2 linked regions of the Tribolium castaneum genome follow. The protein of the gene in region 1 interacts with the protein of each later gene in a pairwise test. Links are inferred from orthologs where the notes say so. Each region holds a gene or a part of one and is shown in the gene's direction. Other genes may lie near its edges. The genes, in order: developmentally-regulated GTP-binding protein 2 and RWD domain-containing protein 1.

The links.
Region 2: the proteins of developmentally-regulated GTP-binding protein 2 (region 1) and RWD domain-containing protein 1 interact in binary tests that used the Homo sapiens proteins (3 or more experiments, as listed by UniProt). The link is inferred for Tribolium castaneum from reciprocal best matches to the Homo sapiens genes DRG2 and RWDD1.

The regions. Positions count from the first base shown.
Region 1 is NC_087399.1:1,997,330-2,000,794, forward strand, and holds developmentally-regulated GTP-binding protein 2, read left to right. Parts: upstream 1-1,542; 5' UTR 1,543-1,594; coding exon 1,595-1,658; intron 1,659-1,709; coding exon 1,710-1,867; intron 1,868-1,913; coding exon 1,914-2,228; intron 2,229-2,278; coding exon 2,279-2,833; 3' UTR 2,834-2,876; downstream 2,877-3,465. Other genes in the region: coiled-coil domain-containing protein 137, read right to left, coding at 27-203, 805-1,357, 1,405-1,481; lysosomal-associated transmembrane protein 4B, read right to left, coding at 3,420-3,465. UniProt on the Homo sapiens protein: Catalyzes the conversion of GTP to GDP through hydrolysis of the gamma-phosphate bond in GTP. When hydroxylated at C-3 of 'Lys-21' by JMJD7, may bind to RNA and play a role in translation.
Region 2 is NC_087400.1:602,350-606,878, reverse strand, and holds the start of RWD domain-containing protein 1, read left to right. Parts: upstream 1-1,473; 5' UTR 1,474-1,501; intron 1,502-4,529. Other genes in the region: SMC3 (structural maintenance of chromosomes protein 3), read left to right, coding at 53-189, 238-817; large ribosomal subunit protein uL30m, read right to left, coding at 887-1,307, 1,352-1,473. UniProt on the Homo sapiens protein: Protects DRG2 from proteolytic degradation.

The DNA.
Region 1 (3,465 bases):
TTTTTGTATTTTTGTTAATAAAATAGTTACAATTCACTTCTCCTGCCTTTTAATTCCCTGTAAGCTTCAATCACTTCCTTCTGTTGTTTATCAAGTTGTCTCCTAAGGGCGTTTGGCAAGTCTTTCCTTTTTCCCGTTTTATCAATCACTTTATTACTGGTTTTGTTTAGAACAGACTTCAACAACAAGTCTTTTTTGCCGGGCTAAAATTTTGTTTTTTAAATTACGTTTGTTATTTTCAAATTAAATTGGCAACACTGGTTTACTCAGAAGATAGAAATATGGTCTTGAGGACTTTTTAAAGAAAATTTAATTGTCTACAGTTTGCAGCGTTTTAAAAATACGAGACGAAGCGCAAATTTTAATAATTTTTTCCCATATTTCTCATCAAAATTTTAGAGGTCAGTTTGTGGAGAATGCAGAACTCAACATTTCTGCATTTTTTTCGGTATAACGCTCGAAGCGCCCTCATTTTCCCCACCCGTACTATTTTTTTGGGTACAGAAATCTGCGATTTATTCGTTTCCTAAGTTATAGTCCTCCGTAGACTTGTCAAAGCACGCTCAAAAATTAAAAAAATAACTCGAAATTGTTGGTATTTAGTTCGACTTTGAGTGAAATTTGGTTAAAGCACGTTTTTTCAGTTAAAAACTTAGTTTATTTCGCAAAATAAATAATAAAAATTCAACTTTTGGGGCTCGAATTTGGGTTGGCAACAGTTACGCGGCCACCCCTCCGGAATGAGTGACAATGTTGCCAACTTAATTTCAAATTCATTAAAATGTATGCGAAAGCGTGACTTACTCGTGGGGCTTCGCCCCCCGTTTTAACCTTCCGGGGCGCAGTCAATGTAGGTGGTTCATGCACTTGTTCCCCAAACTTAACCCTATCTTGAAACTTCTCAAACTCATCAACTTTATCATTAATTCTCTTCTGCTTCTTTTCGTTTAATTTTAATCTCCTTTTTTGCGACTTTGTTAATTTAGGCCCTTCTTCCTTCTTCTTCTTCTTGGCCTGTTTTGCTTCTTTAACCATCACTTGCACGGGGTCTTTAGCCCGTTTTTTAACCCCTTCTATCTCCCCCTCTGCATTCCTCTGAACCTCAACCCCAAATTTTTCCTCAAAAGCCGCCTCGTGTTTAACCATCGCACAGTGCTTGTGCACCCGATACAAAAACTGTTTATCTGACTCATTCGGACCTTGTTTAAAGAATGGCTTCGGACGCGGTTTTTTCACCTTTTTGCGCAAAAAATCGCCACTTTTAACCTTCGCCTTAAGCTCGGCGATCCTTTGCAGACTTTTAGGAACGTACTGTTCGTCTGGGTTACTCGGGGGCGCGTTTATTTTATCCTTAAGACTGAAACGTGCCAAAGTAAGGTTATGCCAGACCGAACAACGTTGTACCTTTTCTCGCGCTCCGCACGTTGTTTCTCGGGGTCTCGGACCCCCCTATGCTTCCGGCCTGGAATTTTGCGCCCCATTTTAACACCCTTTAGCCCCAAAATAAATAGCAAAACTTGAGGTTATATTTACACCAAACAGTGGTGCCAATCGTGCCAAATGTCAAACAAACCGGAATAAAACGTGCCAGAAAATGGGAATTTTGGAAAAAATCTCGGAAATCGAGAAGGAAATCTCTCGCACGCAAAAAAATAAAGGTACAGGAGACACTTCGCCCCCTTTTGTGTTGTTTTATTGGCCTATTTCAGCCACCGAGTACCACTTAGGGCTCCTCAAAGCCAAACTTGCAAAATACCGTTCCCAGCTCTTGGAGCCTTCGAAAAAATCGGAAAAAGGTGAAGGTTTCGACGTTTTAAAAAGTGGGGATGCGCGTGTGGCCTTGATCGGCTTCCCGTCAGTCGGAAAAGTGAGTTTTGGGAACCCCCTGACCTGTCGTTTCATGTTTTTTCTAGTCCACTTTGTTGTCAACTTTAACGAAGACGGAAAGCGAGGCAGCGTCGTACGAATTCACGACCTTGACGTGCATCCCGGGCGTGATCGACTACAATGGGGCCAATATCCAGCTGCTCGATTTGCCCGGGATTATCGAGGGGGCTGCCCAGGGCAAGGGCAGGGGGCGGCAGGTGATAGCGGTGGCACGCACGGCCGACTTGGTCCTCATGATGCTGGACGCCACGAAAAAGGACGTCCACCGACACTTATTAGAAAAGGAATTGGAAAGTGTGGGGATTAGGCTGAACAAAATGAAGCCCAACATTTATTTCAAGGCAAGTCTGGCGCCCGTCTCGCTGTGTAATTTAATTCTTGACACTAACAGGTGAAAAAAGGGGGCGGTATTTCGTTCAATTCCACTTGTCCCTTGACGAAAATCGACGAAAAGCTCGTGCAAATGATTCTGCACGAGTACAAAATCTTCAACGCTGAGGTTCTCTTCAGGGAAGACTGCACTGCCGATGAGTTAATCGACGTGATTTGTGCGAACCGCGTCTATCTTCCATGCCTTTACGTTTATAATAAAATCGATCAGATTTCGATCGAGGAAGTCGATAGAATAGCCAGACAGCCGAACAGTGTTGTCGTCAGTTGCAACATGAAGCTCAACCTAGATTACCTCCTTCAAGTCCTCTGGGAGTATTTAAATTTAATTCGCGTTTATACGAAAAAACCGGGACAGCCGCCGGATTTCAGCGACGGCTTGATTCTGAGAAAGGGGGTTACAGTGGAGCATGTGTGTCACGCAATCCACAGAACGCTCGCCCAGCAATTCAAGTATGCCTTAGTCTGGGGCACGAGCACCAAATACTCGCCCCAAAGGGTCGGCACTTCCCACGTCATGCACGACGAGGACGTCATCCAAATAGTTAAGAAGTAATTAGATTCGTTGTTACTGCATATTATTAAATGATTTTCTTACACTTCTGGCCGTTATTTCCGAACATTTTTTAAGTGGCGAAATTTTATATATTTAATTAAAAAAAACACCCTTTCCTACCGTATTTGGTGATTCTATTGACTGGATTTTTTACTTCGTTAACCGAACTCCACTGTAATATTGCAAAGGTGGCAAATAAATGGGCCATGCATTTTTCGAGCTATATTTACTTTTAAAGTACATGTTATAGATACTGAACAACCTATTCAGCCGGCCGACTTGGCCTTGCGCCTCACATATAAAAATTAAAGCAATTCTAAAGTTCAGTCAACCTTCAAATAAATAAAACCGACTATACATTGAAAGAGTACACTCTTGAAACCGTAATTAGCATAAGATATGTTACATAAACTTCGTTATTAGTTAGGAAACACTCATTTCTTTAATCTAAAATACACATTTGAATTCTCGTTTTGTTTTCTAAGTGCTTCTACTCAAACTGTGGAATGTTGACACGAAAATCGATTTATTGAATTGAAAGAAGTGCACACTTCGTTATAATAACTATGACTACACCAATAATCGTTTATTTACTATTATTACCCTCCTCTTCCTCCTTCTTCTCTCCCTCT
Region 2 (4,529 bases), on another chromosome or scaffold:
ATAATTCTGTCAAAGTGAAGCCTATTTTATTCACGTAATAACAAAATTTTAGCTTTTCAAAGAATTGGAAAAAACCAACAACCAGCTGAAAAAATTCAGTCACGTGAACAAAAAGGCCCTGGACCAGTTTATGAGTTTCTCCGATCAGAAGGAAAAGTTGCAGAAACGTAAAGAGGAACTAGACCGCGGGTAAACCCACTTGGTGTTTGAATTAACTTCCAATTATACATGTTTTAGTGGCGAAAAAATCAAAGAACTGATCGCAATGTTGGAACAGCGCAAATTAGAGGCCATCCAGTTCACTTTCAAGCAAGTCTCGAAGTACTTTTCGGAAGTTTTCAAAAAACTGGTGCCTGCCGGTAAGGCTAAGCTGGTGCTGAAGACAGTCGATAATGAGGAGGGCAAGGATGTGGGCCCGGAAGACACAAACTCGGACCAGTTCAGTGGGATCGGGATTAAGGTCTCGTTTACGGAATCCGACGCCGAGATGAAGGAAATGAACCAGTTGTCAGGGGGGCAAAAGTCGCTAGTGGCCCTAGGCCTGATCTTCGCCATCCAAAAGTGTGACCCTGCTCCGTTTTACCTATTTGACGAAATTGATCAAGCTTTAGACGCCCAGCATAGGAAAGCTGTGGCGAATATGATCCACGAATTGTCGAGCGAAGCCCAGTTTATCACTACAACGTTCAGGCCCGAATTGTTGGAACATGCCCATAAGTTTTACGGGGTTAAGTTCAGGAATAAAGTGAGTCATGTGGAGTGCGTGACGAGGGAAGTGGCCAGGGATTTCGTCGAAGATGACCAAACACATGGCTAAATAAGTTTCAAAAATTTGTTTTTAACTCAAGTTTTGTATGACTTAGCTATTAATAATAAATGGTAGGATTTACAAAGTCGTGTCCCAGGCATCTAACCACTTCCTCCGGGAGTCTCTACGGAGGGTGTCCCCATCCATGCGCTCAGCCTTTGTCTTGAAACTCTCCGCCAGTTGTAAGCGCTCTTCTGACGGCTCCAAGGTCTTCATGACTCGCAATTCGCCGTTTTCTTTCAGGACAGCCCCCTTGGGGCTGGAGGGGAAGCCGTCCGGGAACGTGACCGGTTTAATCTGCACCAAGTGCTTAACCTTCCATAGTCTCTGGTTGTTTTCGGGGATATTTTTAACAATGACAACGTCGCTCTGTTTCCCCGTTAAGTGAAACTCGGCCAGGATTTTTTTCTCGTAGTGGGGCACCCCTTTGAGCGCTTTGATGCGCTGGACCCGGAACACTTTCGATGGCTCGTACGGGGGGTCCTTAAAGTCGGGGTACCTGACAAGACAATCACCACATAACCTCAATTTCTCCAAACTCACCTGGGGTAGTATTTAAAGCCTGGGTACTGAACCCCTTCTTCGGCCCAATTGTAGCGCCGCGTTCTGGTATAGAAACGCTGAATATTGTGGAAAATGTTGATACTTTTGAGAAAACTGGCCATTCTTGTGTGACAGTTAGTTTAAGGTTAGGTTGTGATTTGTGTGAAGACAGCTCCCCAAACCAGCTCCTCGAAATTCCGAAGAAACCCGAACATGAAGCCAGTTTCACACTAGCAAAATACGTTTCAATTTGCGTAGATGTATGTTTGGTTGTCAGCTTTGAAACCGTTTAATAAAATAAAAATCCGAAAAAACACTAAACACCCTCTTAAAAATGACATTTTAAGAAAGTCACTTTGCTAATAGCGAAAAACTCAATTATTTACCACAAATTGCTTCTTAATTTTTCCCACTTTTTCACCTAATTTCAATATTTATAGCTCCGCAAATGCACTATTGCAGTTTTCGCCCCATTTCACCCCGAAATCGGTTTTGTCACACAATGCCCTTTTGACCACTAATTCAACAATAAAAAAGACGTTTTCTAAAAAGAAAATTATGGCCTTTTAGTTGTCGGAACAATGTTAAAAAAATTTATCTTGTCCAGCTCCGCAAATGCATTATTGCAGTTTTCGCCCCATTATTTATTTCACAGAATTTTTTGATAGTTGATAGCGATCGTCAGAAGTGCAGGGTCGGCTTTGTCCGGGTCTCCTCTGCAACGTATTGATACAAAAAAATCTATCTATCTATCTATTTTAATAATAAACGAGTAAAATTGCAATTATTAAACCCTATCCTTTGTAAATGAAATAAAATGCCTTGAGTTCAAATTCTTTTGTAGTTAGTCTCGATAAAAGTGGGATAAAAGTGATAAAAATGTTATCTGAAAATAGAAATCTCGTGTTATTTATGATAACTGACAGTAAAATTTCTTAGGTAGTAAATTAATTTTATTCTTAATTACAATGTTGAAAAGTGAGCTTTCACTTGCTGTTATTACAATGGTTTAAATATTTTAAATAACTGCCACTGCAACTTCAGTTAATTGATTGGACACAGACAATTAACAACCTATTTCAGTGGGTAATTGTTAAATTAAGTAAAACTATTTACTTGGATGATTGGTGATTTCCTTTTCCAAATTTGTGTGAGTCAGCATTATTTTATTTGAGAATAAGTATGTACTAAAAAATATGAATTCAGTTAAATATTATAAAAACTATTCATCAAAACGTATTGGAATTTGGTATATGCGTTAAATGATTTAAATTCTATCGTCTCAGACGTTTATCAAATTTCTGTCTTCATTTGTTTTGGAAAAACAAGGCTAACATGATTTTTTTTAATGGCAAAAAGGGTCAAATTTAATATTAAAAAAAGCCTTTTAACACTTATAATTATCGAACTAATAAAATTTTGTTAGCTTTCGAAATGTTGTCTTTGCCACCTGAACTGTTACCAAAAATAAGTAAAATAATTGTTAAAATAACTCCATAATATCCATACTTATTATTATCATCGATTCTGTTATATTTAGGTACTTTGAATTTAATTAGAGAATAATATACTTGTATGTAATTATAGATATTATCAAGTTATTATCTAACCAAGTTTCAGTGAATGTGTGTAGAACAAAAGAATTATCTAGATTTATCTACAGGCTGCTCAAAAACTGGCGCACCAACGCAGTGGTACGTTGTTGAGAAGCACGTGTAGATCACGGGAAAAATGTTAAAAAAATTCCTAAAGTCATATTTTAAAAAATCTTGAGCTACAAACTTATTGTGTTAACTTCTTTAGTTATCATTATTTTTTTATATTTCTATGTTTCATACCAGGTAATCGTTCCGTAACAAAACGATGAATAATTATTTTTAAATTTACTATCAGATTTTAGCAGTTTTTTTAATTAAAAAAAATTAAAATTCATCCAAAAAATCACAATGTGTAGATGTGCCAACACTGGGAATTATTTCCTAGTAAACCGTTTCAAAAATAATTTATTTTTATTGTTGATCAAATTCTATTGCGATCATGACTGTTAGACAACGTTGCCACATATCATTTACCTAAAATTAGTTATTTATCAATAACTTTAATTCAAAGAATTTTTTTACTATTTTTACCTTTATATGTAACCAGTTCTCTACCACACACCAATGAGTTGGTGCGCCAGTTTTTGAGCACGCTGTATACTGACTGTTTAAATTTAAAGATCTACCTTTTTAATGAAAATAGCAACAGCGGATTTGCATTTTTTTTATTGAAATAGGGCACAAAAGTAGACTTTATAGTTATAGTTATAACTAATGGACCCAGAAACCCAGAAATTAAGAAAAATTTTTTTGCTTAAGATTATTAGAAACCGTTTACAAATTTCATTATGTAAGTAATTTAGTTTTGATAAAAAGAACGTTGTTTGCGCTTTGCAATGATCTGAGACACTTTTATTTTTGTATATATATATATCTAAGGGCCATTAAGTTAATTTGCAACTAACAAATTAGCAAATTTGATTTGATTTGCGTTGTTAACTTTTAACAACGAATTAAATTTTAACAAACCATTTTATAAACGGGCCCCAAACGTTATATTCACACTAACAAGAAGTAATAAATAATAATTAACACGAAAGTATTTGAATGGCATTAGTCGGACCATTAATTCAAAAATATGTACGATATTGAGAAATTTTTTATTCAGTAATTTGTTAAAATCGGGTAATTAATTATGAAGTCGCAATTTATGGCACTTTTTACACATTTCTAAAAAAATTATTGATGAAACTAATTTTTATCGAGGATTAATTTTTTATTCGTTTTCACTTTTGTTAGCTCTTTTGTCACAACTAATAATAATAGACAAAAGTCTTGTATCACTCAAGGATGAAATATCACGGGATTAAACTATTGAAGCTGGATTTTTAACCACTAAACAAATATTTGAAGACGTAATAATGGATTAAAAGAGAATTAGGACAAATTCAATTCGATTTTATCGAAGAATCAGCAGATTAGACTGTTGTTTATCCACCACGTTTATAAAAGAGATTCTGCTCTCGATACCTCAGTAGATATCGCAATGAAAGTGCCAGTACTGATAGTACTAGCCCTCGTGGGCTTGTCTAGTGCCAAATACGAGGGCTCAACAATCTTGAGTTTAGCATTGAAATCGA